Neurospora crassa OR74A: one gene and its partner. The protein of the gene in region 1 purifies or fractionates together with the protein of each later gene. This does not show direct contact. Links are inferred from orthologs where the notes say so. Each region holds a gene or a part of one and is shown on either strand. Other genes may lie near its edges.

The links. The genes of interacting proteins can lie anywhere in the genome.
Region 2: the proteins of pex14 (region 1) and pex10 purify together in Saccharomyces cerevisiae (affinity purification with mass spectrometry; 4 studies listed by BioGRID, with this or other methods). This does not show direct contact. The link is inferred for Neurospora crassa OR74A from reciprocal best matches to the Saccharomyces cerevisiae genes PEX14 and PEX10.

The regions. Positions count from the first base shown.
Region 1 is NC_026506.1:2,098,000-2,102,029, forward strand, and holds pex14 (peroxisomal membrane anchor protein), read left to right. Parts: upstream 1-1,470; 5' UTR 1,471-1,884; coding exon 1,885-1,924; intron 1,925-2,004; coding exon 2,005-2,330; intron 2,331-2,386; coding exon 2,387-3,124; 3' UTR 3,125-3,486; downstream 3,487-4,030. Other genes in the region: NCU03899 (HEC/Ndc80p family protein), read right to left, coding at 1-708, 812-862. UniProt on the Saccharomyces cerevisiae protein: Component of the PEX13-PEX14 docking complex, a translocon channel that specifically mediates the import of peroxisomal cargo proteins bound to PEX5 or PEX21 receptors.
Region 2 is NC_026501.1:5,159,044-5,162,944, reverse strand, and holds pex10 (RING-1), read left to right. Parts: upstream 1-1,422; 5' UTR 1,423-1,695; coding exon 1,696-2,985; 3' UTR 2,986-3,319; downstream 3,320-3,901. Other genes in the region: NCU03278 (protein-ER retention protein), read right to left, coding at 1-839, 918-1,008; bem46 family protein, read right to left, coding at 3,674-3,839. UniProt on the Saccharomyces cerevisiae protein: E3 ubiquitin-protein ligase component of a retrotranslocation channel required for peroxisome organization by mediating export of the PEX5 receptor from peroxisomes to the cytosol, thereby promoting PEX5 recycling.

The DNA.
Region 1 (4,030 bases):
GGTGCTCCAATTCTGACCTCCGACCGCGGCGATTTGGCTCTTGGTGATGCTCTTCTCGTATGGGTATCGCAGTTGTTTGAGTAATGGTGGTACCTCCTGGTCGATATTCTTCTGAAACCGGTAACTCGGGTCTATCCTGTGGTAAAGCCATTGAAACAAGTAGTTGAAGTCCTTCTGTGTCGGCGACTTTGTGAAGTTGTCGGACAGCTTGTGGTTCATCTCCATCTCGAAATTGTTCTTGGCGAGGTACTCGAGCAACTCCTGGCCAATGCGATTTTGGAATTGACGGTCTTTGAGGGGGCGCGGATCGCGAGGCACGCCGGCGGGCTGGGGCGCTTGCTGGAAGAAGCTCATATGCCCACCAGCTAAGGGACCTCCGCCGACGGCCGACGGTCGTGCGCTTGGGCGGTAGACGCTGCTTCGCCGGTCGAGTTCTTGCGATGATCGAGGAATACCGGAACTGCCTGGGGTGCCATAGGGCTTGAACTGCGACGTGTTCATGTTATGAACCGACGCGCGCTTTACCGAGCCCAGGCCAATGTCGGAGGATCGCTGGAACAGAGGTTGGCTCGGTCGCGGGAGGGCCAGAGATTGCCTCCCCGACAGAGAGCGACCATGGCCCGTTCCTATTGTGCCGATGGTGCTTTGTCGCTTAAGTGTGGAGGGTGGTGCCGGAATGCCCGACGTGAGGTTGACGCCATGGAGAGTCTACAGAGAGAGCAGAGTCAATATCGTGCATGGTCGCGTCGGATGGGGAGAGGTTTCGACCGAGGAAACACGCCGCAAAGAAAGTCACGGGGGGAAGTCGCACCTCCCTTGGCCGTCGAACACTCCAAAGGCCTGCGTTGCTGTCTTGCGACATGACGGCAAAGGCCTCGTCAATGTGCGCCTCCCTTTTGCCGTCCTAGTCGCGTGGTTTCCGTGATAATATATAAGCAAGCGAACAAAAGAGTGTTACACTACGTGCAACTGTGTCGGATCGATGTCGGCGATGATTCTCTTGGTGGTGATTATGTCGGATAGCTTTGTAGAGCTAAGGTATGCGCTCGAGTTAATGTGGGTACGTGTTCGCGGCTCTGACAGAAATCAATGCATAACCGCAGTCGCGGATTTCGTCGTGTCGTAGCGATAAAAGTACGTGTACGGCCAGCAACCTAATGCAGGCCAGCATAGGTATGTAGGTAGATTAAGACACCGTAGTGTAGACGGGACTAGGTTGTCGACTTCTGCGGATGGTGGGGGAGGTTGCTCCGTCAGGAAGAGTAAACAAAAGAAAGGCGACGTGGGTGGGGCTGTGGAAATCATTGGGCTGAACAGTGCCAAGTGCACTCCAGTTCTCGTCCCCAAGCATCGGGACGGCAGGTGAATGACGGGAGTGGGTCCAAAAGCGACCTTGAGGGTGAGTGTTGGCTCGCTTCAGGTCAGTGCTTTTTCAGCTCTGCACTCCCGTCTCTGAGCCAGTCACTGCATGGAATGGATGCTCAGCTGCGCTCTAGGCCTGTCGGAGGAAAAGGAGAGTCAGGGGAGGAGATAGTGATTTATCTGATCAGCATGCCTCCACGAGTGTGCTGGGGGTGCAAGTGATGCGAAGCTGTTAAGGTGCTATTAGCAGTCCACGTCTAGTGTACAATCAGGCCCCCGGTCCCGTGAACCTCGGCTTCAGGACTCCATCCAGCGGCCCAGCCATCCCCCGAACCGCTGCCAGTCAGTTCGTTTCCACTTCATCTATCGCATTCAGCCTCCCGTCCTTCGATAATCATTCCATCAACCGCCGCCGTCTGCCATCGCGTCGCGACTGTTTCAGCTGTCTGCTTCTTTCCTCTCGTCTGCCCAGTCTCAACAAGGGAACGCCATCTGCCGCATTTCGATCAAACAACATCAGTCATGGCCATCCGCGAGGACCTGGTCGCTTCGGCGGCGCAGTGTATGTTCTGCCCCTGTCTTGTCCCCTGCTACCTCCTCTACATTGCCAGGCCAGAATCTCACCCGACAACAACACCACAGTTCTTCAAGACCCCAGTGTCGCCGCCTCGCCAATCGAGAAGCGGATAGCCTTTCTCCAAGCAAAGAACCTCACCCAGGAAGAAGTCAGCGCTGCTCTCGCCCGCGCCGAATCAGGAGGTCCACCGCCACCGTACGCCCAGTCGCCCGCCTATGCGCAGTCGGCCGGACCCGTCGCAGCACAGGGTGGCTCTCCGCAGTACTATGGCTATCCCCCATACGCATGGCCGCAATCGAATACCGACGGTGTCAGGCGGGACTGGAGGGACCTGTTCATTTTGGCGACCGTAGTCGGAGGCGCGTCGTACGGCCTATACAATCTCGGCAAGGTAGGCCGCCGAACACCGTGCAATGTACATAAAAGGAAATTCTAACCGTTCGGCAGCGCTATGTGTATCCTTTGATTGCTCCTCCCACGCCGGAGCGTCTCGAGCAGGACAAGAAGTCCATCGACGAACAATTCGACAAAACATTCCAACTGGTTGAGCAGCTGGCCAAGGATACCGAAATCCTCAAGGCCTCGGAGCAGGAAAGGACAGAGAGACTCGACAATGCCCTCGAGGAGCTGGAGACTGTCGTCAGGGACCTCAAGGCAGCCAACAGACGCAGAGACGACGAAGCACAGAGAGTACGGGACGATGTGCAAAATCTCAGGGACTCGATTCCAAGGGCACTCAACAACCAGAAGGACTTGACCGACAACAGGCTGCGCGAACTCAATACCGAACTCAAGAGCCTCAAGACCCTCATCTCGCAACGCATGAACCCAACCGCCACCTCGACGAGCGTCAACAACTACCTTCGCCCCAATACTAACGGAAACGCCACTCCTTCTTCAGCCCCTGCCACGCCAGCCCTCGGCGGTGAGAACGGAGACTTAAACAGCAGAGCCGCGAGTGCGCAGGATGAGCAATCCAGATACCAGCAGGAACAGCAGTTCGCTCAACCTGCTGCCCCCAAGCCTTCGCCTTTCAGCAGCGGAATTGCCTCTGCAGGCAAGCCGACTATCCCTGCTTGGCAGTTGGCCATGGCCAACAAAACCGCGTCGGCTTCGACTGTCGGAGTCACGAACGGTACTACAAACGATGGCTCAAGCAGCAACGGAGGCGACGAAGCCGCTTAAAAAGCTGTTCTCCAGTCAGGCACAAAGATAAAATAGCACCGGAACTGGGAAACCTGGATACATTAATCGGCATGAGCATAAGGCCAAAGTGAGCGACTCCCTCTGGTTTTCTGTATAGTAATAAAGCTCCTGTACGTTGTTCAAGCAGGACAATACACAGGAGCACTTGTGAAGCATGGGACAACCTCATTCAGTCCCCTTTCCATGATAGCGCGTTTGTATTTCTGCAAGGTCTTTAAGCGCGGACGTTGCATGGCATTTTCCTAGAGCATGATATCAAAAGCTACCATTTTCACATCTTATAAGGTTAGGCCGTGAATTGATCTGAGACATCCCGTACACCTGACCGCCCAGTATTTCTGCCTCACTATTTTGACCGCTGCTATGGCATTGCCGAGACAAATTTTTGGTTATTGTCCTCAGCCACCCAAAAAAACTGGAGGGGAGGGGCAAAAAAAAAAAAAAGCCATGATCGAATAGAGATGCGCAAACGGTCAAAGAGGGACAACTGGCTTTGGTTATGTCGCCCTCTATTCAGGACTTTCAGCCACATCGGTACAGTCAGAACACCGCGGCCTCTGTAGAGAACTAAAGGATACATTGTAGTGTAGGTATTGATGTCGCTGCCAAATCATTACCTCAGCGTAGCATATGCGTACCCGAGAGGTCGGATGCGGAATATTCTCTGTTAAGACATCCCGGGTTCAAGGTACATACACCTTCGTGCCATGGTTCAGTTTCCAATCGCATCTAATAGTCCTCGTAGCTATTACTTGATCGGGCAATGCTTGCTTGGAACCAAACATTGACCCCACCCATCATCCCTTTCTTCCTGTGCCAATGTTCTCATAGCGCCTTCGTCTCGCCCAAACCCGAAGGGGATATTGGCCACAAAGGGGATGCAAG
Region 2 (3,901 bases), on another chromosome or scaffold:
ATCGGGAGAATTGCGTTCCTGTGCCCCAGCAAAGAGGGTGAGATCCCAATCCTTGGCAACGTCCCAGTAAAAGCTGTAGAGTGAGTTGAGCAGACACGCAACAATCCATGCACGGTACAGGCTCGTAGTTGGGGTACCGCTGGTGTTTGCGTTACGCAACATGGCGTTTAGAATGATAACAGGAAACGCGGTCGAGTACTTGGCCGCGTTGGCGAGATGTTGTCCACCCCAGCCCGTGGACTCCTTGAAAGGGGAATTTCGCACGCGCAGATATTCGATAAGACACTGGCGCAGCCGAATAGCGCTTGGTATCGTCAGGAGAAGTGGTACGAGATAGGTGCCGCCGCAGCTGCGATCGGGTCGGTCAGTAGCAGACCCATTCCGCGTGAAGAACATGCAGAGACATATGAACAGGTCCCCAAGGACCTTGGCGTAGCTGGTGAGAACATCAGCCAGCAAGATATCCCCAAACTTTCCATCCTTGGCCTCAGCCAAACCTCCCACACTGACGCGGCGCAGAGTTGCGAGTAGTCGACGTCGACCGGAGTGCGAAACAGACAGTCTTCGCAGGGGTAGCACGAAGAGGGCTGCGGTCACTGCCAAGTTGGTCATGGGAATCCAGTCATAGTCGATAACGCGTTTTGGATCGCGCCTGGTAAACGACCAAAATGTGAGAATCGAAACAGCGGAGCTTAGCGAAAGAAGAGTCGCAAGACGGTATGTCGAGTGGTGGTGAGGGAGCTGGGTTGGGCTCGATCTTCCTGGGTACCGGATTAAGGAGGGGACGTCGATCTTGCGATTATGGAGGAAGTGAAGGTTGAGGCCCCAGCCCCAAACAGCTAATCAACCAGAGATAGTCAGTTTACAACCGTGTATCCAGAGAGCAAACATACGGTAGGAAACTTGTATATACATACCTATGATCACGATGAAGGCAACCCGGTAGGGAAGGGGAAAGGTCAAGCTGAAGGAGTCGAGCTCCGGCTCAACCACGGGATCACCGTCCATTGCGCCAGGCAGCGGTCAATTTGCTGTCCGTCATGGAATGCGGAGAGGGAGAAGTAACAGTTGGACGCAAAGAAGAGTTGATAGGCTTGGGATCAAATTCCCAGCAGTAACGCGTTTGGAGTTTGTCAAGTGTCAAGATGGAAATTTTAATTTCATCTGTATTGTGGTAGCTGTCGCAAAGACACCGGAGTTGCCAAGCCCCTGTCGCGTGCACTCTTTTTGGCTTAGGGAGAAGACCCGACGTCAGTGCAACCCCTGGTCGCGGCCCCGTCCTGTGACAACCCGCTGCATCATCCCTGCCGCTAAAGCCTGGGCTACGACGTTCTGGGCACCCCCCTGCCAATTCCTCAGCTCGCTCCTTGTGAGGAGGAACCACGCCTGGGGCGGCGCCGGGCGTGCTGCCCCCATTAACCCCAAGGACCGAGGTCCATCCGTTCCCGACTACCACTTTCATCTCAGCTTCAACTGCCGCCTGTCGATCTCGAAACATCAAACAACAACTCGGATAATTTCAGATCGAAAAGACTTAATCATCCACTGCCACAGCTTCGACGATTCGACTGTAGGCATACGAGCTCTCCTAGGGTTCGAGAGTTCCCCCTGAATACGTCGACCGTGTAAACACAGCTTTTGACCCCCCCGACTTCGAGCCCACCCGACCCGACCCAAACGACGACATCAATTACCATGTCATTGACGGCCACCAAGAAGCCTCCTCCGCCGCTCACGAGCTCGCCATATCCATTCGCTGCAGCCCCCGACATTATCCGCGCGCATCAAAAAGATGCCTATTTCCAGGGCGTCCTCACTAACCAGCTGACCGACCTTCACCGGCGCGTTCGCGGTGCCCGCTCCGCCCACTCCTGGGCCACCGAAACCCGTACGGCTGCCGACCTGCTCTACCTATGCCTCACCACCCTCCTCGGCAACCGCACCTTAGGCGAGGAGTACTGCGACCTAGTCCAAGTCGAAGAGCCGAGTACGGGCGGCAACGGCAGGATACCAGACACCCAAAGCCCCGTCGAGCCCAGCAGCGAAGCCGGTGGCCCCCGTCTGCCCTCGCTCCAGCGACGAGCCGGCTACATCGTTAGTAGCGTTCTTGTCCCCTACCTTTTCAGCCGCCTGCTGCCCTCCATCCGCGCCGCGCTCCGCAAGCGCCTCCAGGACCGTCTCACCGTGCTTGCCCGCCAGGGCCGCGGCGACACCAAGGGCGCCACCCCATCTACCTCCAACAACAAGGGCGGTGGTTTCTCCACAGTGTCAACGCTTGAGTACCGCGTGAAGCGCTACCTGCTCACACACCTGACTTCCATCACCAGCGGCGCGCACCTGCACGCCTTGACGCTGGCCGTATTCTACTTTTCGGGTGCTTACTACTCTTTCTCCAAGCGCCTCTTCGGGCTGCGTTATGTGTTCACGCGGCGCATCGAGGAGGGTCAAGGCGGTCGCGCGGGCTATGAAGTGCTCGGCGTGCTGCTGGTGGTGCAGATGCTCGTCCGGGGATACCTGCATGTGACGGCGCAGCTGTCGTCAACTTCGCCGCTTAGTGCCGAGGAGGCCAGTACCGAGGCGAGCATTCGGGAGCGCGCCTTTGGGCCGGGCGCTGCGGGCACACTGGATGTGTCGTTAGATGAGAATGCCTATAGCAGCAATAACGAGTTGCTGGTGGAGACGGGCAAGTCGGGTAACCAGCGTAGTTTGGCGGAGATTGGACGGACGACGCACACCCCTGTGCCCAAGGGCGGGAGGGCGAACTACGACTTGGCGGCGAATGAGGAGGTCATGGGCTGGATCAAGGGGAGACAGCAGAGGATGTGCACGCTTTGCTTGGAAGAGCTGAAGGACCCGGCGGCGACCCAGTGCGGACATGTCTTCTGCTGGTCGTGTATTGGAGACTGGGTGCGCGAGAAGCCTGAGTGTCCGTTGTGCAGACGTGAGACGATGGTACAGCATATTCTGCCATTGAGGGTTGCTTAGAGCAGTCCTTTTCTGGCGGTCGGGGGGGACAAAATACTTAATATACGGGAGATATGACAAAAAGCAGGAGTCTTACAACGTCCTCTCGAGAACAGATTTTGGGTAGTATTTGCACATGACAAGGAGCGAACAGTCAACAACTGCGGTTTAGGGATAATTGTATATGCAGCAAGCATATTGCCAGGAGAGAGAGCCTGTTTTCGTACATAGCCTAATGATTGAATGATCCGACATATTCTCAAAAGGTCAGGAACTTTTGACAAGCTAATGCACATATGTTCAAGTATGAAATTGAATTATTCCTTGTCCGATATTAATATTTGGTATTTACTCTACAAAAACTTCTCTTGCTTGATTAATATCGAGTCTCGTCCCGTTTGGGTCTTAATCAAGACCCGAGCAACCTCGACATAGGTCCAAAGGGTCATGAAATACATACACGAGGTGCGAAAGAGAAAATATGACACCTCAATGAAAGCCTCAAGTTCCGACCCATCTTCAAGCATCAAGCCACCAAGGTCGTGGTTGTCGTACTTGTGCTTCGCTGTCCCCCAACAGCTCGTAATCGTGGACGCTTTCGCGTCATCAAGATCGTGGGCACATCATATGCCTCCCCTTCAACAGAAAGACCCATTTACCGTATGGAATGAGGAGAGAGCGACGGCGCGGATTTCGTTGTCGAATCGAGCTATTTCTTTTCGGGGTCTCCTGAGGAAACCCTTTGGATGAATTCTGCGATGGCTTCAAAGTAGCCTTCTTCGAGGACACTCGAGTTATGGTCGCCGTTGGGAAGAGGCTTCCAGATCTTTATCGGAGCGTTGGAGAGATGATAAAGCTGCTTCATATGAGTGGGTCTAAGATGCGGGTGATGGAATTAGCGGACAGCTCTCATGCAACCCAACCGGCCACAACCACA